3 linked regions of the Macaca mulatta genome follow. The protein of the gene in region 1 purifies or fractionates together with the protein of each later gene. This does not show direct contact. Links are inferred from orthologs where the notes say so. Each region holds a gene or a part of one and is shown on either strand. Other genes may lie near its edges.

Region 1 (4,876 bases):
TTTTTTTGGAGACAGAGTCTCACTCTGTCACCCAGGCTAGAGTGCAGTGGCGCGATCTTGGCTCACTGCAAGCTCTGCCTCCCGGGTTCACACCATTCTCCTGCCCCAGCCTCCCGAGTAGCTAGAACTACAGGTGACCGCCACCACGCCCAGCTATTTTTTTTTTTTTTTTGTACTTTTAGTAGAGACGGAGTTTCACTGTGTTAGCCAGGATTGTCTCGACCTCCTGACCTCGTGATCCGCCTGCCTCGGTTTCCCAAAGTGCTGGGATTACAGGTGTGAGCCACCGCACCTGGCCCTGATTAACTTTCCTTAGCAGTGAAGGACTGTTCAACTAAACTACTTCTTCTAAATGATAATTTCCTTTTCTATTGTAAAATATACTAGTGCAGTTTTTTAAAATGCCAATAGTTCAGTGATAACCACATCCTTAAGAAAATACTTAAGAACAAACAAGAAAATTGTATCTGAAGATACTATAGCCAAGTTTCTGGTAAATTCAAAGGGAAATGAACATCCCCTAAAATATCCAGATCCTGAATTTACTTTTCATCACTTAATACTTACAGCAACAGCCTGAGTGCCACTGGAGCCATTTATTAAAAATTAGTCATTACTACTAAGCACATTCTCCCCACCCCTTGAAGAAGACGAAGAAAAAAAACAGAACTACTCAGGTGTGGGGAAGGGGTGTGTATATGGGGCAAGTGAGGAAAGTAGCAACTTGTCTCTCTGGGGACAATTAAAAAATGAGACTTTGGTTTGACCCAAGTATCACCAGGATGTCAGAAAACTAAGGAAGGGTCTTCTTCTAACAACTGCTTCATTGCTCTTCTTTTTCTTAAAATGGAAATGGTCTGTCACAATGTAGACATGGAAATGAGCACCATGTGGAACAGTGATTAGACAGCGAAAGAAACTAACAGAATTACTGGAATTTGCCTTCGGAGTGGTGTAGATAACGAAGTAGGAAGTGCTTATGCATGTTTTAAGGCTCGTGTTTAAGCAAAGACACATGCAATTCAAGATTAATATACAAGAACCACTTTTCAATTTTTTGAAAAAAAAAATTAAGTTCAGGCTTAACTATGAAATAAAAATTTCACTACGTATACCTGCACTAGTTGCTAAACTGCATTCCACTTAAAGGACAGTACAGGTAACATGCCTCAGTAGACCAGAGTGTAAAAACACACAGACCACCACTGGACAGATCTCTATGTCATACACCGCCTTGGTTTTTTTTTTTTTTTTCAAACGGAGTCTCCTCGCTCTGTAGCCCAGGCCGGAGTGCAGCGACGCCATCTTGGCTCACTGCAACCTCCGCCTCCCGGGTTCAAGCGATTCTCCTGCCTCGGCCTCCCGGAGCAGCTGGGGCTACAGGCGCGCGCCACCACGCCCAGCTAATTTTTGTATTTTTAGTAGAGACGGAGTTTCACCATATTGGCCAGGCTGTATGGAGCTCCGACCTCAGGTGAACCGCCCACCGCGGCCTCCCAAAGTGCTGGAATTACAGGTGGGAGTGAGCCGCCGCGCCCAGCCTATAAACCGCTGTTAAGGTTGCAAGATGAGCGTGTACTAGGATGTGTAACTGGTAATTTCTGGAGTGTCTGGCAACAAACCTCAAAATCAAATTTCCTTAGAAATCCTTGGCCTAAGTTTTATTTTTAAAAAGGTCAACACAAAATTAATAAGTTCAAAAGGTGGCAAGTTCTATCACATTAATAAAACCAAAGCACAGCACAGGCAATAATATATTAACAAGAAGGTAATTATTTCAGTAACAGCAGCAACAGGTTCCCTGGAGGAGAATCCCCACTTCTCTATAAACGCTGCACCTAGATGGATTCAGAGCACAAAATTTACCACAGGACATCTAGCAGACCGAAGTCAAGCAACGCTGATCTTTTAAACAGATTTCACATTTCTTACCATTTCCTACCTTAACACTCCACCAAAAAAAGCAAATAGCTATCGAAATATAAAAAATAACGTTTCTAGCAACCCAAAAGTAGTCAGAGATCTCAAAAAAAAAAAAAAAAAATAGGGAAAGGGGTGCTGATGCTAATAAAGTGACACTACAAAAACTAAGTGCAAAAGTAAACCTACTCCTCACAGCGTATCACAGAACAGTTAATGGTTCAGGTACAGAGCCTCCTCCCCCAGGTCCTCCTTCCGCGACCATGACTCCCCAGTGACTATTTTACACCAAGTAACTACTGAAAACGCCCAAGGAAAAGGAGTGGGGGAGGGTGGCTTTTGAAGATTCAGGTAGCAAAGAGTGACTGCTAATTTCATAAACAATAATGCAAAACAAGCAAACCACCGCTCCTAGCCAATTACCAAGCAGGAGTCAAAGTTCCACCACGTAATTCGGGCCTGGGCCTTTTTTAGGCAAACACGTAATCGAAAGCACAGTCATTTCCCTCTTGATATTTTATTCATGCCGGCAATACCATTCACACTGAGCAGGTAGCAAAACAAAAGAAAAAAATAACAGCAGAGAAGGCAGAGGGGCGCGGGGTGTCCCAGCCTCTGTCTCTCCCCGGCCGCGAGCTCCCGCAGGCCGGGACGGGAAGCGCAGCGTCCTCTCTGCTGAGGTCTCGACCCCCACCCGCCCCACGGGGCCGAGGGTCCCCTGGGCGGCAGCGGGAGGGGACGTGGGGGCGGCGGGGACGCCAGACGCCGCGGGGACACCGGACGCCACAGAGAGCCTGTCGCCTCGGGGGCCTCCCCGGGCTGCGGGAAGTTTCCGTCCCGCTCTCGCGGCCCCTCCCGGCGAGCCCGCCGCAGCCCAAGCTCAGGTGCAAACTTCCCAAACGTCGCTGCACCCGGGGTCCCAACCCGCGCCCAGACCCGACGCCCTCCCCCGGCGCGATCCCGGCCGTCTGCACGGTCCGCCGCACCCATGCCCAGAAGGGACTGGCTGGGCCGCGGACCCGCCCGGGGACCCCACCGAGGACGCAGAGTGGCCCCTCGGCCGCCCCCGGCCCCAACCCTCCCCGCGGCCCCAGCCCCGACCGTCCCCGCGCCGCCGCGGGCCTGAGCGACCGGCCGGGCCTGCGCTGCGCGCCCCTCACCTTGGTGGCCATGGCGGGCGGGTCCCCCGGCCCGGGACGGCCGGCTTGTCTCCCGCGCCGCGGATGGTGATTCTGAGCCGCGCGGACGAAGGCAAGGGCGAGGGCGGCGGCTCCGGCTGGGCCCCGGCGCGGCGGCCGCTCCTCCGCCTCGGCCCCGAGTCTCGACGCTCAGGCCCAGCCGCTGGGCGCTCGGCTACTCCCGCGCCGCCCGCTCCTGCAGTTCCTGAAAGTCCCCGGCTGCGCGGCCCCCGCCCCTGCCGGCCGAGCCTCCCTTTTACCGCGGCGCGCGCGGCGCCCGGCGGAAGCGCGCCCTGGGCCCTCGGCCGCGGCCCGGCCTCCTCGCCTCCTGGCCGCCCCCGCGCTGCGCCGCGCCGCGCCGCCGCCCCGGGCAGTCGCTGCCGCCGCCGCCGGGCGCCCTGGGTCGAGGACGGGGGCTGCGTCCCGCGCGGCGGCGGGATCCGGACAGGCGCCCCGGGCCATGGCCCGCACCCTGCGTGGCCGCCCCACAGGAAGCGCTCCGCGGCCCGCACAGCCGCTCGGGGGAGCCGAACCCGACTCCGGTTCACGCTCGGCCAGCGCCGCACGCCGTGGCTCGGGGCTTTCCGTGCATGAGGCGGGCGGGGGGGCAGGAACTCTCGACGCTCCCGGCAGACAGGAGCCCCGCAACCCCGCTGTCTTTGCCCCACGCCGAGGGTGTTGCGGGGTCGCCGTGCCCTTGGCCGAGTACTTTGAGTGCCACGTAAACAGCCGGGAAGGAACGGAGCAATGGCTTCCTGGGCCTCTTTCTCCTGCCCGGAGGCTCCCTCAGGCTGGGGTCCTGGCTTGGAGCCCCTGGGACGGGACGGTGGGGGGTTCGTTTTGTGACGTCCCATTAACCTCATTCTGGAATCTTGATAAGTTTAAAAATGCCCGAGGGCCCAAGAGGTTTAGGGGACAACAGGCTCTCTGAAGTGGAAATGAGGGCTCTAAAATTTTCCATCTTTCTGTCAGTGTTTCTCTCCAGAGTTGGAGATATATATATGGGTGTTATGAATAAACGAATGACTTGAATTGAGCAGCAAGATTTTTCGCTCAAGGACAAAACACAACTGGAAGATGTATCATAATTGGCATATTAGTGGAGTGCTTTTTTATTATGAGGGATATATTTGTAAGAAGAGACAACTATCAAATCTTCAATACTCTGGTATTTAGAGTTAATGTCAAGTTTGTGTCTCCTTAAATACATTCTATTTGACCTGAGGTTTCACTAGTTACATTCAATAATGTGGTTTAAAATAGATACGGTATCGCAGAATTTTCTGTGAATTTTTGTGTTTGTTGAGCTCATGGTTAAGCTATAGTCGTCATAATATGCATAAATAGTTGTCTTTCTCCATAAAAAAAGATGGAGGCCAATATTCATTGACAGCCTGCTTGCTATATACTGGGCTTTTACATCCCCATCTCATTTAATCCTTATAAGAAACGTTTGAGAAGCTCATTATTGTCCACTGTTTACAAAGAAGAGCGAATCAGGGCTCACTTAAATAACTTGCGCTTTTGGTAATACTTACTCAAATCGAAAATGACCACAGCCTTGGACCCAGCAGCCCTCCTAGGAGTTTATCCTGTCAAACTTGTACAAGTGATCAAAGATGTTCATCAAAGATTGTTCGGTCCTAACTCCAACCAGAAAACAACCTATGTGTTTGTTAACAGGACTCTTTCAGTAAATAAGATACATCCATTCAAACAAAATACTACAAAGCCCGTAAGAAAATAATATTTTAAGAGGTGTTAAGAAAGATAAAAGA
Region 2 (4,305 bases), on another chromosome or scaffold:
GAGGGCTGGCGTATACCCTGAGCGTGTTGGGGTGAGTGGCAGGGCAAGGAGAGGAGGGGCAAGCATGATCCTAAGGCCCCTGGGGCACCATCCTCAGTGATGCCAAGTCACGTCATGTTTCCGAGCCCTTATTTGGCTCAGAAATAATAGGAATCCTGGCCGGGCGCGGTGGCTCAAGCCTGTAATCCCAGCACTTTGGGAGGCCGAGGCGGGTGGATCACGAGGTCAGGAGATCGAGACTATCCTGGCTAACATGGTGAAACCCCGTCTCTACTAAAAATACAAAAAACTAGCCGGGCGTGGTGGCGGCCGCCTGTAGTCTCAGCTACTTGGGAGGCTGAGGCGGGAGAATGGCGTGAACCCGGGAGGCGGAGCTTGCAGTGAGCCGAGATCACGCCACTGCACTCCAGCCTGGGAGACACAGCGAGACTCCGTCTCAAAAAAAAAAAAATAGGAATCCTTCCCCCTACCCACTCTGGGGGTGGGAACAGAGATAAGTCTCCTGGTCCTCCCATCCTTCTCCAGTGGCAGTTTCACGTCTCTGTCTCTGTTGCAGATGGCATTTCTATATTCCCCTTTCTATGATGGTGGTTTCTTGTGACTGCCTTCTCTTTCCTCCCCTATTTCACTGTGGCAATGTCTAGAGTAGCCTGAGAGTTGGGGTGCAGTGTCCCCAGGTTCACTCAATCTCTCCCCTTTTCCTCTCTGTATGTTTCCTTTGGCTGTGCTCCCTGGTGGTGGTGGTGGTGACAATGTTGGTGTGTGGGCCTCCCAGGACAAAGAGAAAGTGAGTATGCCCTTCTCTTGCCTCCTGTCAGGCATCTGCAGCCTGGCACCAGCTCCAGCCAGGTTTTCAAGCAAGGGACCAGGAGATGTTCTTTTCTAATTTCTGGATTGGGGCCAGGCGCAGTGGCTCGCGCCTGTAAACCCAACACTTTGGGAGGCCGAGGTGGGCCGATCATGAGGTCAGGAGTTTGAGACCAGCCTGGCAACACGGTGAAACTCCATCTCTACTAAAAATAACAAAAGTTAGCCAGGCATGGTGGTGCGCACCTGTAATCCCAGCTACTCAGGAGGCTGAGGCAGGACAATCGCTTGAACCTGGGAGGCAGAGGATGCAATGAACCAAGACAGCACCACTGCCCTCCAGCCTGGGCGACAGAGCAAGACTCTCTCAAAATAATAATAATAATAATTTCTGGATTGGGAAATTGAGGCAAATTCTAGGCACTAGAGTCAGAACCAAGACAAGGCTGAATCAGGGGAGTCTAGGGTCCTGAGAGGCACAGGGATGGAGAGCCTGGTGTGTGTTCAGGCCAGTTGCTTCTCTCTGTGCCTCAATGTTCTGGGTACCTTTGGAGGGGCTGAGATCCTGGCGATGCCTGGAGCCTGGCTGCGTGGCCTGGCCACCCTGATGCCCTTGTGTTCTCCATGGCAGGCCAGTGAGACCGAGGAGAATGGCTCCGACAGCTTCATGCATTCCATGGACCCACAGCTGGAACGGCAAGTGGAGACCATCCGGAATCTTGTGGACTCGTACATGGCCATTGTCAACAAGACCGTGCGGGACCTCATGCCCAAAACCATCATGCACCTCATGATTAACAATGTGCGTGCTCCGCCGCATGGGGGCAGGGAAGTCCTGTGGCACTGGGGACGCAGGTGGCCATGTTGGCCTGGGGGAGATGCCAACCAGCCCTGTGGGACCAGGTCCAGGGAGGGAGGCACGGTCCAGACCAGAGCTGTCCGATAGAAATATAATGAGGGTCTGAGCACAGTGGCTCACACCTGGAATCCCGGCACTGTGGGAGGTCAAGGCAGGCGGAACACTTGAGGTCAGGGGTTCAAGACCAGCCTGGCCAACATGGTGAAACCCCGTCTCTACTAAAAATAGAAAAATTAGCTAGGTGTGGTAGCGTGAGCCTGTAATCACAGCTACTTGGGAGGCTGAGACAGGAGAATCACTTGAACCCGGGAGGTGGAGGTTGCAGTGGGCGGAGGTTGCAGTGAGCTGAGATCCTGCCACTGTACTCCAGCCTGGCCGACAGAGCGAGATTCCATCTCAAAAAAAAGAAAAAAGAAAAAAGAGAAAAGAAAGAAATATAATGAGGGGCTGGGCATGGTGGCTCATAACTGTAATCCCAGCACTTTGGGAGGCCAAGGCAGGAGGATCACTTGAGCCCAGGAGTTCAAGACCAGCTTGGGCAACACAGTGAGACCTCGTCTCTACACAGAAATTTTAAAGAATAGCTGGGGTTGGCTGGGTGCGGCGGCTCATGCCTGTAATCCCAGCACTTTGGGAGGCCAAGGTGGGCGGATCACCTGAGGTTGGAAGTTTGAGACCAGCCTGACCAACATGGAGAAACTCCGTCTCTATTAAAAATACAAAATTAGCCGGTCACGGTGGTGCATGCCTGTAATCCCAGCTACTCGGGAGGCTGAGGCAGGAGAATTGCTTGAACCCGGGAGGTGGAGGTTGCGGTGAGCCAAGATTGTGCCATTGCACTCCAGCCTGGGCAACAAGAGCAAAACTCCCTCTCAAAAAAAAAAAAAAAAAAAAAAAAAAAAAAAAAAAATATATATATATATATATATATATATATATATATATATATAAAGAAAAGCTGGGGTTGGTGGTAGCACGTGCCTGTAGTCCTAGCTACTGGAGAGGCTGACATTGGAAGATAACTTTGAGCCCAGGAGGTTGAGGCTACAGTGAGTTGTAATCTTGCCACTGTACTCCAGCCTGGCGACAGAGCGAGACCCTATCTCAAAAAAAAAACAAAAACAAAGAAAATCAAAACAAAAACTGAGTAGACAAGTGTTCTGGTGGCGTGATAGGTCCTAAGTCCCCTCCCGGATCTGTGACCTTAGTCAGGTGACTTTTCCTGTAGACCTCAGTGTCCTCATCTGAGCGAGAAAAGCGCGGTGGGGAGGCGAATCTTCCAGTCTACGCAGTGTAGGAGCCGCGTGGGAAAAGCCATACCAGCTCACAGTCCCGTGGGGGGCCGTGGGGGCCGGCCGGGTGGGGCGGCCAGGGCGGCACAGGCATCAAGTCCCCACCTCCTTCCCTCTTTGCCTACTCGCAGACCAAGGAGTTCATCTTCTCGGAGCTGCTGGCCAACCTGTACTCGTGTGGGGACCAGAACACGCTGATGGAGGAGTCGGCGGAGCAGGCACAGCGGCGCGACGAGATGCTGCGCATGTACCACGCTCTGAAGGAGGCGCTCAGCATCATCGGCGACATCAATACGACCACCGTCAGCACGCCCATGCCCCCGCCCGTGGACGACTCCTGGCTGCAGGTGCAGAGCGTACCGGCCGGACGCAGGTACCAGGGCCGGCCCCCACGGCCCCAAAGCCCCCCAGCCCGGGGCCCACGGGAGGAGTGCCGGGACCGGGCAGTGGCGCGCCCGCGTCACCGGGCGGCTCCCACCTGGAGCGAGGGGCGGAGCTTAGAGAGGGCGGGGCTTGCCGCGGGGCGGGGCTTGCCGTGGAGAGCTGGCTGCGAGGCGGGGTGGAGCTGGGACGTTGGCGCCGCTGGGGGCGGGGCTTAAGCTCCGGCGACCGCCTCGGGGCACGGCAGGGAGGGGCTTTGCGTGCATGGGCGTGGCAAGCACTGGGCTGGGGCGGGGCCTCAGTGTGGGCGGAGCCGCTCATCTCGCCTCTCCTTGTTTCTCGCTGCCTGTCGCCCTCAGGTCGCCCACGTCCAGCCCCACGCCGCAGCGCCGAGCCCCCGCCGTGCCCCCAGCCCGGCCCGGGTCGCGGGGCCCTGCTCCTGGGCCTCCGCCTGCTGGGTCCGCCCTGGGGGGGGCGCCCCCCGTGCCCTCCAGGCCGGGGGCTTCCCCTGACCCTTTCGGCCCTCCCCCTCAGGTGCCCTCGCGCCCCAACCGCGCCCCGCCCGGGGTCCCCAGGTGAGTAGGGGCTGAATGCGGCTGGAGAGGCTGCCGGACGGGCGTGGCCGGGAGGGAAATGGGGCTGGATTCCAGAGCATCGGACCCGGCCGCCAGAACCGGCCGTTTCCATCCCAGGCAATCGGACTCTGGGTGCCGGAGCCACGCCACGTGTGGCCGAGGGCTGGCGGAGCCTGCCCCCGAGGGAGCGCTGAGTCCCGGAGGTGGTCGTTTCTGGGGAGGGGGCTGTGGGGCTCGTCCCACCTGCCCCCTTCTTTGCAGCACTTGCATGGCGCTTCCCTCTATTTTCACTCTTGATGGCCGCCCACACGTTGCATTCCTCCTCCTTTCTTCTTGCTGTCCTCCATCCTCCATTCCGTCCAATTCCTCTCCCAGCCCCTACGGAGCCTAC
Region 3 (4,374 bases), on another chromosome or scaffold:
AAATGTGATAGAACTGGGCATGAACAAATTTGTTAATTCTATACAATTCTCCTTCTTACCATTTCAAAACTTGCATGAATGAAATAAGCTCTGATTTTGAGAGATTTAAAAAATTGATTTAATTAGAAAGGATTTATTTAGAAAGAAGTTTTTAAAGATTGTAGCTGTTTCATCTTATTTAAACCACCAGAGTAACAAACTACACAAAGCTACTTTTTAGTTTCTAAATTTACATGCTTGCCCCTAAAAAGGGAAGAATAATTGAGACAGGAAGAATGGGGGGTATTAAAAGTAAATATAAACTGGTTTTTCAGTGCTCCCTTTCTTTCGCAGGTAAAAACAAATGGAATCTCTGGTGTCAAACGAGAATCACCGTTAAAGATTGACCCATTTGAAGATCTGTCATTTAATCTGCTTGCTGTATCAAAGGCTCAGCTATCTGTTCAAACGTCACCTGTTCCAACCCCAGACCCAAAGAGGTTGATTCAGTTGCCTTCTGTAACGCAAAGTAATGTTAATACTTTGAGTTCTGTGAGTTGCATGCCAACAATGCCTCCAATTCCAGCTCGGAGTCAGTCCCAGGAAAATATGCGAAGTTCTCCAAACCCGTTTATTACCGGCTTGACCAGGACAAATCCTTTCAGTGACAGGACTGCTGCTCCTGGAAACCCATTTAAAGCCAAGTCTCAAGAATCAGAGGCAACTTCATGGTTCTCCAAAGAAGAGCCCGTTACTATCAATCCTTTCCCTTCTCTGCAGCCTCTCAGTCATAACGAAGGCAAGGCTTCATCTTCACTTGATGGCTTTAAGGAAAGTTTTGATCTACAGGGGCAGTCTACATTAACAATTAGCAACCCAAAAGGATGGGTAACCTTTGAGGAAGAAGAGGACTTTGGTGTGAAAGGGAAGTCAAAGTCAGCTTGTTCAGATTTACTGGGTAATCTGCCAAGTTCATTTTCCAGCTCCAACCTGACATTGAATGATGACTGGAATAAAGGTACAAATGTCTCTTTCTGTGTGTTGCCATCAAGAAGACCTCCTCCACCTCCTGTCCCTCTGCTCCTGCCTGGCACCAGCCCTCCAGTAGATCCTTTCACGACCTTGGCCTCTAAGGCTTCGCCCACACTGGACTTTACAGAAAGATAACGCCACGCAACAGAAGACAGTGGGTATTTGCTTTTGGCAGGTAGAGCCAAGAGAATTGGGCATTCGTATTTCATTATGTGCAATAAGTCATTGTAAGTGCACTGATATCTTCACAAAACACCACTATTTGATGTGTACAGAGTTGGAATATGTGTATATTGGAAATAAGGAAAAACCCTTCTCATTGTTAACTGGAGTTTTGATGTATTTCTCTTTGGATGAATAGGAGACAGTAGTAGCCATAAAAAGTGCTTAAAACTACTTTAGAAAACAGTCCTTATTCAGAAACTTTTCGGTCAGGCTTCTGAAGAATCTCAAAAAAGCCCACCCAACTTTCAGCTGACATTTCCACCAGCCCTCTCATACTTGTTAACAATTGGTTATCTATGAGTATTTACCAAAGAGCTGCCAAGGTTACAGTGAACAGTTTTGAAAGGCATTGCTTTAAAGGAAAAAAGTATAGGTATGTGTACATATATAATACATACAAACACATATACTTCCATATACATTTATATATTTTCACAATTCATAGTTTAATTTCTAGGATATAACTCAGACCAAATTATACCTAAAAGTTCCAAGAGAGTCCCTTTCTCAATATCACATTACCAAAAAGATGGCTGCAATGTAATTTGGACCTTTCATTAATTTTGTTTTCAAAACTAGAATAATCTCACCACAGAATCAGAATTTTCTACCATTCCACACCCAACACCTTCAAATACACACAACCTTGTTACTTTTTACTCCAGCGCTTTCATATGCTTTTCTCCAGGAGGAGGTTCTTGCCGCTGGAAACAGCCTATTTTGTGGTCACTGTCAAGTGGATGGATATTCTAGTGCTCCCAAAAAAGCACTATGGCCTTATATGCAGGGAAGGCACATACCACCAAGTTCAAGGAGAAATATTAGAGCTAACCGTACTCTCTTCTCTGCGTACATTTGAATGTACGTTGCCTGTATCCCTCCCATATTTTCTTTTTGCTGCTTTTGCTCTGGAACTTTGCTTTTAGCAGGGAAAGCAGCCATCCCCTGAGTGCTTTGAATTGGGGATATATCCACTGTGTTCTCCCCCCTCTTACGAGGCTACATAACACATCTCTGATGCTGCTTTAAGTTTTTAGAGGCTATACCTCAAATTAGCTGTGGATTTTGTCTCCTGCACTGCCAATATGCAACTGATCCCGCTTTTATTAATTTTATGAAGAAGTACACAGAATTTTTACAGAATGTAGTATTTTGATATCATTAAGTAAACCAATCAGAAAACTCCTTGAGCAATAGTTGTTTCTTTGTCAGTTTCCATTACAATCATCTTTACCCATTAAGACTTACATTAGCGTTCCTTTTATATAAAGAGTTGTATATGTCCACCTAAATTCCTATGTCCACACTTAACCTTTAAAGATGTACATTGAGGGAATATAAAAAAATAGCGTTCATGGCTACGAATATGTAAAATGTTAAAAGCACAGCAAACTGCACTGCACTTAGACATAAAGCAAATCTATTAGGAAAAAAAAGCATTTTTCTAAATGCTCAAATGTTATCAAAATACTATATTTATAGAAGTAATCTTCTCTGTTAACAGCCAGGATTTGCTGTTAGAAATAACTCTTGTGAGTTTTACATTGTGCTTTTTGGAGGTTCTAATCATTTCAGCAGTAGTGTCTTTTAAACAGCAGTATTACTATAAGCAGTATGCTTCAAAATGTGAATTAACTTGTTGAAATTGTGGCTTTAACATCCATGTGACTCGTGTATATGGTATTTGCTCTCCATTAGCAAAATAATTCATTGTTAGGTAAACTTCACTAGTGCAAATTGCAGTTCTGTGAGCAATGTTTCCTATTGGATATAAACTACTGTCTAAAATATACATATCAGCAGCCCAGCCTTTATCAGGAAATTACACTTGGCAAGTTGCTGAAAATGCACAAAGTTATGAAAGTTAAAGGTATGCTGCAAATAACTAGCCATTATTCTGTGTATTATTAAATATTTACTAGTTCTGTTAAAAGCAGAGCAGAAGTTAGACACTAAGATCTCTTTGTGAACTCTGTGTTCTCTATATTAGATTGCTGTTTATATGTAAGATTTTATTGCTTATGTGGCATACAATATTTATAATGATAAACTTTATAGAAGTACAGTATTAAAGTCAGTGGTACACAGACATTCTGTACATATCCTGTGAAACGTGCTGTCATATGAAATAAATATATCTGTCTTTACCATGCTGACTTCTTTGTTCGAAAGGGAAGAATTTTTCTCAGCCATTTTCCGTGTACTTTACATACACAAGTTTAGTGACGTTCAAACTAAATAAGCCTAACCCTTATTGCCGAATCAGGTATTTTAATTCAAGACCTTATTTTCATTTCTCCAGATAGTGCTTCCTCTAAAAGTAAGAAGAAAGATTTTCTGAGATTACTAATCATTATTAAAAAGTCCATGCCCAGCCTCGCCAACATGGTGAAACCCTGTCTCTACTAAAAATACAAAAAAAAAAAAAAAAAAAATTAGCCAGGTGTGGTGGCGCAGGCCTGTAATCCCAGCTACTGGGGAGGCTGAGGCAGGAGAATGGCTACAACCTGGGAGGCAGAGGTTGCAGTGAGCCAAGATCGTGCCATTGCACTCCAGCCTGGGCGACAAGAGCGAAACTCTTTCTGGGGAAAAGAAAAAAAAAAAAAGAAGGTCCATGCACTTACTCCATAAGAGAGGCCCTAACTCAAAATCATGCTGACTTGAAAATAATACATGAAATATGAATTATTTTTCTTACCCAAAGCAGAAGGAACAACTGGGGGGCAAAAAGGAATTGGGACACAACCAGACAGAAAAAGGGACTGACTAAAAAGACCCAAAGTAAAAGGCCAGGGCCGGGTGTGGTGGCTCATGCCTATAATCCCAGCACTTTGGGAGGCCAAGATGGGTGGATCATGAGGTCAGGAGTTCGAGATCAGCCTGACAAACATGGTGAAACCCTGTCTATACTAAAAATACAAAAATTAACTGGGTGTGGTGGCAGGGATCTGTAATCCCAGCTACTCAGGAGGCTGAAGCAGGAGAGTATCTTGAATTTGGCAGGTGGAGGTTGCAGTGAGCCAAGACCACGCCACTGCTCTTCATCCTGGGGGACAGAGGGAGACTGCCTCAAAGAAAGAAAGAGGCCAAGGCTAGGCAAGGTGCAATGGCTCATTCCTGTACTCCCAGCATATTGGG

What was found. Proteins that work in one complex are often made in the same cells at the same time.
Region 2: the proteins of SNX9 (region 1) and DNM1 purify together in Homo sapiens (co-immunoprecipitation; 6 studies listed by BioGRID and IntAct, counting the BioPlex papers as one, with this or other methods). This does not show direct contact. The link is inferred for Macaca mulatta from reciprocal best matches to the Homo sapiens genes SNX9 and DNM1.
Region 3: the proteins of SNX9 (region 1) and SYNJ1 purify together in Homo sapiens (co-immunoprecipitation; 3 studies listed by BioGRID and IntAct, counting the BioPlex papers as one, with this or other methods). This does not show direct contact. The link is inferred for Macaca mulatta from reciprocal best matches to the Homo sapiens genes SNX9 and SYNJ1.

Annotation. Positions count from the first base shown.
Region 1 is NC_133409.1:76,689,231-76,694,106, reverse strand, and holds the start of SNX9 (sorting nexin-9), read right to left. Parts: upstream 3,305-4,876; 5' UTR 3,093-3,304; coding exon 3,081-3,092; intron 1-3,080. UniProt on the Homo sapiens protein: Involved in endocytosis and intracellular vesicle trafficking, both during interphase and at the end of mitosis. Required for efficient progress through mitosis and cytokinesis. Required for normal formation of the cleavage furrow at the end of mitosis.
Region 2 is NC_133420.1:19,437,292-19,441,596, reverse strand, and holds part of DNM1 (dynamin-1), read left to right. Parts: coding exon 1-31; exon of another isoform or gene 32-35; intron 36-775; coding exon 776-787; intron 788-1,438; coding exon 1,439-1,609; intron 1,610-3,089; coding exon 3,090-3,331; intron 3,332-3,698; coding exon 3,699-3,914; coding exon of another isoform or gene 3,915-3,918; intron 3,919-4,305. UniProt on the Homo sapiens protein: Catalyzes the hydrolysis of GTP and utilizes this energy to mediate vesicle scission and participates in many forms of endocytosis, such as clathrin-mediated endocytosis or synaptic vesicle endocytosis as well as rapid endocytosis (RE).
Region 3 is NC_133408.1:14,731,575-14,735,948, forward strand, and holds the end of SYNJ1 (synaptojanin-1), read left to right. Parts: intron 1-333; coding exon 334-1,146; 3' UTR 1,147-3,384; downstream 3,385-4,374. UniProt on the Homo sapiens protein: Phosphatase that acts on various phosphoinositides, including phosphatidylinositol 4-phosphate, phosphatidylinositol (4,5)-bisphosphate and phosphatidylinositol (3,4,5)-trisphosphate. Has a role in clathrin-mediated endocytosis.